Notamacropus eugenii: one gene and its partner. The protein of the gene in region 1 purifies or fractionates together with the protein of each later gene. This does not show direct contact. Links are inferred from orthologs where the notes say so. Each region holds a gene or a part of one and is shown in the gene's direction. Other genes may lie near its edges.

Region 1 (3,745 bases):
CGCGAGGGCTAAAGGCTCATGGCGGCCGGGCCTACAAAATGGCGACCTAGGAGGGGGGGGTGTGGAAGGAGCAGGCCACAGCGACAGCAGGCTACAGAACTCACGGATAAAGGTCGTATTAGAGGCGTATTGGGCTAAGCACCGTAAGAGGATACGGGGAACAGAACAGAGAAGAACGAGATAGCACAATCGTTGGGCTGCGACTCCCTTACCTCTGACTTCGACATGGTGAGAGCGGTAGCAAAAGCTTCAGCGATCCTTCTCCAACGGTGTCGAGAACAGAAAGGAGATAGCTAACTAGCGTTTCTGTCTCCCCACCTTCGTACCCGCTTTTTAATCCCGCCTCCTCGCGTTCTGCATTGGTAGACTCCTCCCCTCCTTGTCAACCATTGGATAGCTCCAATCATTCTAGCTACCGATTGGTCTATGGTAGCGCATCTTTGCGTAGCGTAATGCGTTGCGTAAATTCCGCCCCGAGGAAGCTGCTGATTGGCTTCTGAGAAGTTCTTTTTTTTTTTAAAGCGCCTGATTGGCTCTCCTGCCAGTCACTCTTGTTTGAAGGTAACCAGTTTTTTTTAGGTAACTTTAATTTTTAATTGTTTAAAATATTACGCTATATTTAGGGAGGAAAACACTATTAAACGTGAAAAATTAAAAAAATAATAAATGACTAACAATTACTTCTTGGGCTTCTATTCTCTGAGAGCGCATGCGTAGTGCCACAGCCAATTAACGCAAGCGCAGTAAAAAGACCTGACGGCTATTTGTACAACGTGTAATGGCGGGGAAGAACGGACCTATGTAATACACCTGCGCAGTGGCGGGAGTCTTGTCCCTTTATGCGCATGCGCAGTGGGCGGAGGAAGGGTCCTTCGTTGGATCGCGTGCGCAAGCGCAGCGGCGGATCCGTTTTGGCGGGCGGTTGGCGTTGCGCAGAAGGCGGCGGTGGTTCCTTGTGGTCCGGCCTCTTCGCAGAGGAACGGGGACAAGGTTAGGGTGAGAGAACGCTCTCAGTCCCGGGTAAGTGGAAAACAACCATGTCTACACTTCTAGGTCCTTGGAGCAATTCCAATCGGGCCCGTTATTGTGTGAAATGAATGGACCGCTGGGGTGGGGGGGGGCGGAGGAAGAGCGACAGGGTTGATCAACCAATAGGCGAACAGGAGGCGGGTGTAATTGTCCTGATGGCCTGTCCTCTCGTCCAATGGCTGTATAGGAGGGAACCCAATGGATGAATAAGATTGACAAGACCGTAGACCAATTGAGACTCCATTTGGTGGTTCTTAGTAACTGACATCGATCCTTGGGCCACAGGAAGGCGGGAGGCGGGTTCTTTCCTGAGCTGGGACGCTCTAAGCAAATTGGAGAGAAGTGCGCGGGGAGGTTGGGCTCGCCAGAGAGACAAGGGTCTGAGCCCAATGTGAGAGATGAGGGCTGGGTCTTTCAGATAGATGGACCAGGCGAATAGCCAATGGGAGGTCAAACCAAGGAAAGCGCGCGGGGAGACGGCCCAATCAGCGCTCTGGCGGGGGGTGGGTTTAGATTTGGGGTTCCGAGGAAGGAGGATTGCCTTTTGGGGGTGGGGATCCCTAGGGGATGACTTGTTTTTCACGGAGGTCTGTGGGCTTGCCCAGTCCCATCTGTGGTCCTGTTCTGAGGCTTGTAAGCCTGATTGATCATCAGTGCTTGCCTTTTCTTCGGCCCTTTTTCCTCTTAGGGTTCAGTGCAGGCCAGGGAAAGACTAAGACCACATGTTTGTCTACAACCTTGCTTTGTACCCTATAGGCACACTCACCCCAAGACCACATGTTTGCAACCTTGCCTTGTAACACATACTTACACTGCAAGACTACATAATTTTTCTGGAATCTTGCTTTTTAGCACATAACACCCTCATCCAAGACCACATGTTTGTCTGGAACCTTTCTTTGTAACACGTACATACACTCCAAGACTACAAATTTCTTTGGAACCTTGCTTCTTAACACACATGTACACCAAGACCACATATTTGGAGCCTTATTTTTTAACATAACATAGATATTTGTCTGGAACTTGCTTTTTAAGGCACAAATATACACACACACACCTTCCCCATTTCACCCCTTTTCTTTTGCAATGAAGGAAATTTCAGACCTCTCTCTATCTAGTCATCTGGTCATCTGAAACTACCTCACTTGTAAAATGAGGAAACTTCCCAAGTAGCCATGCCTTGGGGAATCCAGAAGCCTTTCAATAACCAGGATGAATCCTTGAGGAATTGAGGTGATTCCAGATCCACACTTACCTATTCACATGTTCGTGAATGAAAGAAATGTCATCAGATGCTTTGTTCCAGACTAGTTCAGTAAGGGTTAATAATTGAGCTTCTTTGGAAGTAGCATAATTTAGGAAATTTTATTATATAGTCCCCTCTGACTTTGTACACAAAAGAAATAAAATTTTAAAAAGACATTTGGTAAATAAAAACTCAAAATTTGCTTTCCTGCTCATTTCCATTTTCTGTGATCTATGCAAAAGATGAAATCTTCTGAGGAGGCCCTGTAATTTCCTTGGTTTAGGGAAGCACAGAGTAAGGAAATCAAACTCCTTAAAGTGTCAGAATTCCTGGGATAGTTTAAGTGACTTGCCGGGGAACACTCAACCAGGATATATGTGTCAGAAACTAGACTTGAACCCATATTTTCTTAACTTCAAGACTATCTCTCTATCCACAATAACAGGATGTATCTGAAAGTGATCTAACTAGTCACAATCTCAGTATTTGACCACAAGGTGTGATGTGAGATGAGTTAAAATTAATCATTATATCATTTGTTTTAAAGGTAGGAGGGAAATGAATAATTTGATTTAATACCACATTTGATGAGAATCTCATGTGAACCTTTATCTGCCTTTCATATAAACTGGAGATTAAACATAGGGAGAAAGAGATATGCCATATGATAGTAGTATTTGAAAACCAGATTAACAAGTGTGTGGACTCTTTATTTAAAGATCTGATAAATCAGATCTATAGGCTTCACATTTTCCAAGAAAAGTGTATTTTTTGTGTTTTCCATGTATGGTTGAATAAAAACAAAAATTCATTAAAATTTTTATTATTGTTACTAACCTGTGACCTGTTAATTGCTATACATTTGTATTGTGTTCACAGACGTTGAATGCTTAAAATGAGTGTGAATGTGCTTTTGTTCAAAGTGGACTTTATTTCATTATTTCTTTTATTTTCAGCTAGGTTGGACCTCTTAACAAGCCATTTTAATTAAGTGGTTTGTTCACACTTTTTCTTTGGAAACTAGGTCCCCAAATCACTCCCTCTTCCAGTCAAGAATGGACAGCTGATTTACCATCTTTGGGAAAAGGTGTCTTCTTTGTCTGTGAGGATTCACCTTTGCAGCCTGTTAAATATGAAATGTGTGAACATGGCAGTTTGAATGACAGATTAAGTGAGTAAGGATTGGGAGGCTGAACAGCTTCAGGTTCAACCCCAGAAGTTCTTGGTTGTACAGCTAAAGTAAGCAACAGTTCTTGATTTAGTTTGTTTTGTTGAGAATTTTCCTCTTTTTAAAAAAAATTTTTTCGTTACATATTAAGTTCTAAACTGTCTCCCTTTTACCCTCTCTCCTCATCCTGAACTTAGAGAAGGCCACCATTTGAGACTGATGTGTGTGTGTGTGTATGTATATACACACACTCTCTATATATGTATGTGTACATACACACACGTAGGCATATATGCATG
Region 2 (3,745 bases), about 33 Mb from region 1:
GGGGGGAGAATGAGATATTATGGGATGTGACACTAGGTTGTTTCTGGGAGTATTATGGGATGTCTGGCTGCCCAGCTGCCCCTGGTGTTTATTATGGGATATCTGGGTTGGAGTGGGAGAGTTGTATTATTATGGGATGTCTTGAGGGAAGAGGTGATTAGATGTCCATCTGTGGGGTGACAGTGAGGGTGCTGATCATTATGGGACATCTGCATATAGGGGAGGGGTGATTATTATGGGCTGCCAGACTACAGAGTGAGTGTGTAAAGGATGAGGATGATGGTGGTGAGACTATCAGAGGACACTAGCCTGGAGGGGCTGGGGGGAGCTACCATGGGGTTGGTTATTATGGGATGTCTATATAGAAAGGGGGAGACTGGTTATTATGGGATGTTGTGTGGGAAGGGGCCCTGAATGGCCGTTGTTGCAGAGGGCGAGGGTGGATATTATGGGATGTCAAACTGGGGGTGGATGGAGGGTGGTTATTATGGGATGTCTGTTGGGGGATGGGGGTGAGTATTATGGGATGTAAGGCTGAAGTGCTGGGAGGGGTGGTTATTATGGGATGGCCATGGAGAGGGAGGGGTGAGAGGGATCATTATGGGATGTCAATCCTGGGGGGTTAGAGTGGGGAAGTTGGCAGGAGAATGGTTATTATGGGATGTTTGGGGAGAAAGGGTTGAGTTGCAAAGGAACTGAGTATTATGGGATGCCCCTAACTCTGGCATATATGTATATGGAAGTGGGGGAGTCCACGAGTATTATGGGATGTCCGGGAGGTGGGCGGTTGCTCCGGTGACACGCGCGCGCGAGCGATGAAGGGGCGGGGCCAATGGTTGCTGGGGCGACGAGGGGGCGGGCGTTGCCGGGGAGATCCAGGGAGGAAGGTGGAGGGTGGGGGGAAGGGGACTGGGGAGGGTTGGAGTTGGTTGGGGTTATTATGGGCTGTCCGCGGGGGGGGGGCGGGGCTTGGGCTGTGGGATTTCCCGGCCGGTGTTTCGGGCCCTTTAAGAGGCGAAGCCGGAGCCGGAGCCATTTTCCCCCCTTCGGCCGCGGCGAGGAGGAGCTGGAGTGGGAGCGAGAGCTACAAGAGCTGGACCCCGCGGCTCCGGGGTGAGGAGGGGGCGGGGTCCCCAAGGAAAGACCCCCTTCCAGAGAAACTCCCCCGGGGGTCCTTCCCCTGTCCCGCAGAAAGCTCGTTCACACCTGGCTGGCGGCCCCCCCCTCCGAGCCCCCAAGGGCCCGAGGAGAGCAGAGCCCTCCCCCACCCAAGGCTTGGAGGCGCCTCCTCGGGCTCCGTGGGCCCTTTCGGCCCCCCAGGACAGCGGGGAGGGGGCGGCTTCCTAATGTGTTAGGCGCCTGCCCCCCCCCCCTGCTGCCCTTTGCGGGCTTGTTCCCCGGGACACGTGGCCTGGCCCCCCTCCCCAGGTTAGCCTGCAGACCCTTTCCCCCCCTTCTCTCCCCCGCTCCAGACCGGGCTCAAGTCTGGAGACTCCACCCGCCCCCTTCCCTTGGCTCCCTGGAAAACCTGAAGCGCTCCCGGGATCAGCTGCCCTCAGTGGGCACTGACCCCTCCCGGCGTCCGGGAGCTGGCCCTTCCCGCCCCCCACTGACCTTCCGCCTCCGAGAATCGCCCCTCTCGTAGCCCGCCGGGCTCTGGCCCCTTCTCCTTACGGCCCTCAGCTGTCCTCCCACAATGCCCGCTTGGCCCTGGAGGAGGGAAGGGCCCCTTCCTTCCTGCCCCTGCCCCACCTCTGGCCTTAGCCTTCCTCACGGGGAGCGAGGCCCATCCCGGACCCTTCCCCCGAAACGCTGAAGAACGAAGTTCAGTTCAAGTGGGTTTTGCCGTCTGGCCCAAGTGGCAAGGGGGGGTTGGTGGGGTGGTGGGTGGAAAGAATAGGTGGGGGTGGGGTGGGGGAGGGGGACAGGGACAGTGCACGTCACTGACTGTTCTCTCTCTTTCTCTGTCTCTTCCCCCCTCCCCCCTCCTCTGCACAGTGACTCGGGCCAGCACAGAGGGCCCCAGGCCGGAGGCAGGAGCAGCTGGGCCAATTCCCTGGCCAGGAGTGGAAGGGGATGGCTTCAGGCCTGGGCTCCCCATCCCCCTGCTCAGCAGGCAGTGAGGAAGAGGACATGGAGGTGCTTCTAAACAGCCTTCCCCCACCCCACCCAGGTAAGTGCTCAGAAGGGGCCACAGGCTGGGAAAGAGGAGGCTTTGGGGCCTTCCCCTAGTGACTGTTGGGGCAGGGTTGGGTAATGCCTCTCTTTGCAGGATCTGAGGTGGGAGGGTATCTAGAGGGAGTGGTTCAATTCTTCTGAGCTCCCCTGTAAAAAGGGTGATGGCAGCCATGTGTTTCTGCCTTGGGCATCATGGATTGAGGTGTCTTGGAGATGACATTTAGTGCCCATCTGTGCCCATTTGTAGGGTCTGAGCTCACGGTGAGATGAAGATTTTGCTCTATGTGAAGCTTAGAATGAATAGGGTGGCAGTAAGCTTAGGTTATGGTCAGCCAGTGCTTTGTGACTTGGCCTTAGGGTTTTGGGGCAGAGTGGCCAAGCTTCCCTGAAATCTAGTGGGGTCTTGGGGGTAGGGGTCAGTGATGCCTTGGAAAGTATAAACAGGGATTGCTGGGTTCTCTTATTCAGTTTATTTTTAGCCAGTGATCAGTTACCGGTTTTCTGTTCTCTCTGCTGACTGAACTGTGCAAAGTTTGAATCTCGCTCACAGCCGGGATATGGAGCACTTGCAGCCAGGCAAATTGCTGGAGTGTTTTGGTTGGGGAATGAAAGCTGAGGGAATATGTTAATGATCTAGAAGACAAGGTTTGAGGGTTTGGGGAGCAGAGGAGCTCCCCCAGTACATTTGAGTAGGAAGGAATTTTTTTTAAAGACTTTCCATCATTCTTTTTAGGGAAGGAATGTTTAACAGAAGACTTTGTGTCTGGGAAAGTATGTTTATCTTGGTGAAGGGGGAGAGGAAAGTATAGAGGTGTGTTATATGTGTTTGGGGTGGGACTTTGCACCAGGCAAATTGAAGTAGTCTGATTTATCCTGTGCTTTTCGGAGATGGTACTGACCAGTCCTGAGGAGCAGAGCTTTAGTTCACTGCTCAGATGGAGAGATGCTGTATGCTTGTCTTGTCTTCTCTCCTGCCCCTAAACTGGCCTTTTTGTTCTCCTACTTGTTTTCTTTATTCCCCATCTCAGATTTTCTTATCCTCCCTATTGTCTATTCATGAGAACTTTCTTCTTCTATTGGATCTTGAAGTATCAGAGAGACAGTGTAGTGAGCCCTGGAATCACATTCTGTTGTTAGCTGTGTGGCCGTTAGCCAGCCAAGAAACCTCTCTGAGCCTCAGTTTGGTCTTCAGTTAAATGGAGAAAATAGATGTGTAGAACCTACTTCACAAAGTTATTGTGAAGTTCAAATGAGAAAATGTATGGAAAGTACTTTGTAAACCTTAAAAGTGGTATATAAATGTTAACTACTGCTTTTGTTATCTGAGCCAGCCATTCTTGCATTCCAAAGGCTACTGATCTTGCTTAGGTTCCCCAGTGACTATCTTTTTTATTTTTAATTTTCTTTACTTTTGACAAGAACTGGGCTGCCTTAGAAATGCTTCTAGATTTGGGGCTAAGTTGGGGTCACGGATGTGTGTAGTGGAGCCTCTGCTATACCCTTCATAGTTGTTTGGGTAGATGTTAATCCCTATCTTCCCCTGTCCTTTGCTTTAGTCTGGTATAGT

What was found. The genes of interacting proteins can lie anywhere in the genome.
Region 2: the proteins of CBX5 (region 1) and CHD4 purify together in Homo sapiens (affinity purification with mass spectrometry; 5 studies listed by BioGRID and IntAct, with this or other methods). This does not show direct contact. The link is inferred for Notamacropus eugenii from reciprocal best matches to the Homo sapiens genes CBX5 and CHD4.

Annotation. Positions count from the first base shown.
Region 1 is NC_092874.1:227,404,582-227,408,326, reverse strand, and holds the start of CBX5 (chromobox protein homolog 5), read left to right. Parts: upstream 1-771; 5' UTR 772-1,020; intron 1,021-3,745. Other genes in the region: HNRNPA1 (heterogeneous nuclear ribonucleoprotein A1), read right to left, coding at 213-227. UniProt on the Homo sapiens protein: Component of heterochromatin that recognizes and binds histone H3 tails methylated at 'Lys-9' (H3K9me), leading to epigenetic repression. In contrast, it is excluded from chromatin when 'Tyr-41' of histone H3 is phosphorylated (H3Y41ph).
Region 2 is NC_092874.1:194,885,776-194,889,520, reverse strand, and holds the start of CHD4 (chromodomain-helicase-DNA-binding protein 4), read left to right. Parts: upstream 1-1,117; 5' UTR 1,118-1,835; intron 1,836-1,998; 5' UTR 1,999-2,076; coding exon 2,077-2,173; intron 2,174-3,745. UniProt on the Homo sapiens protein: ATP-dependent chromatin-remodeling factor that binds and distorts nucleosomal DNA. Acts as a component of the histone deacetylase NuRD complex which participates in the remodeling of chromatin.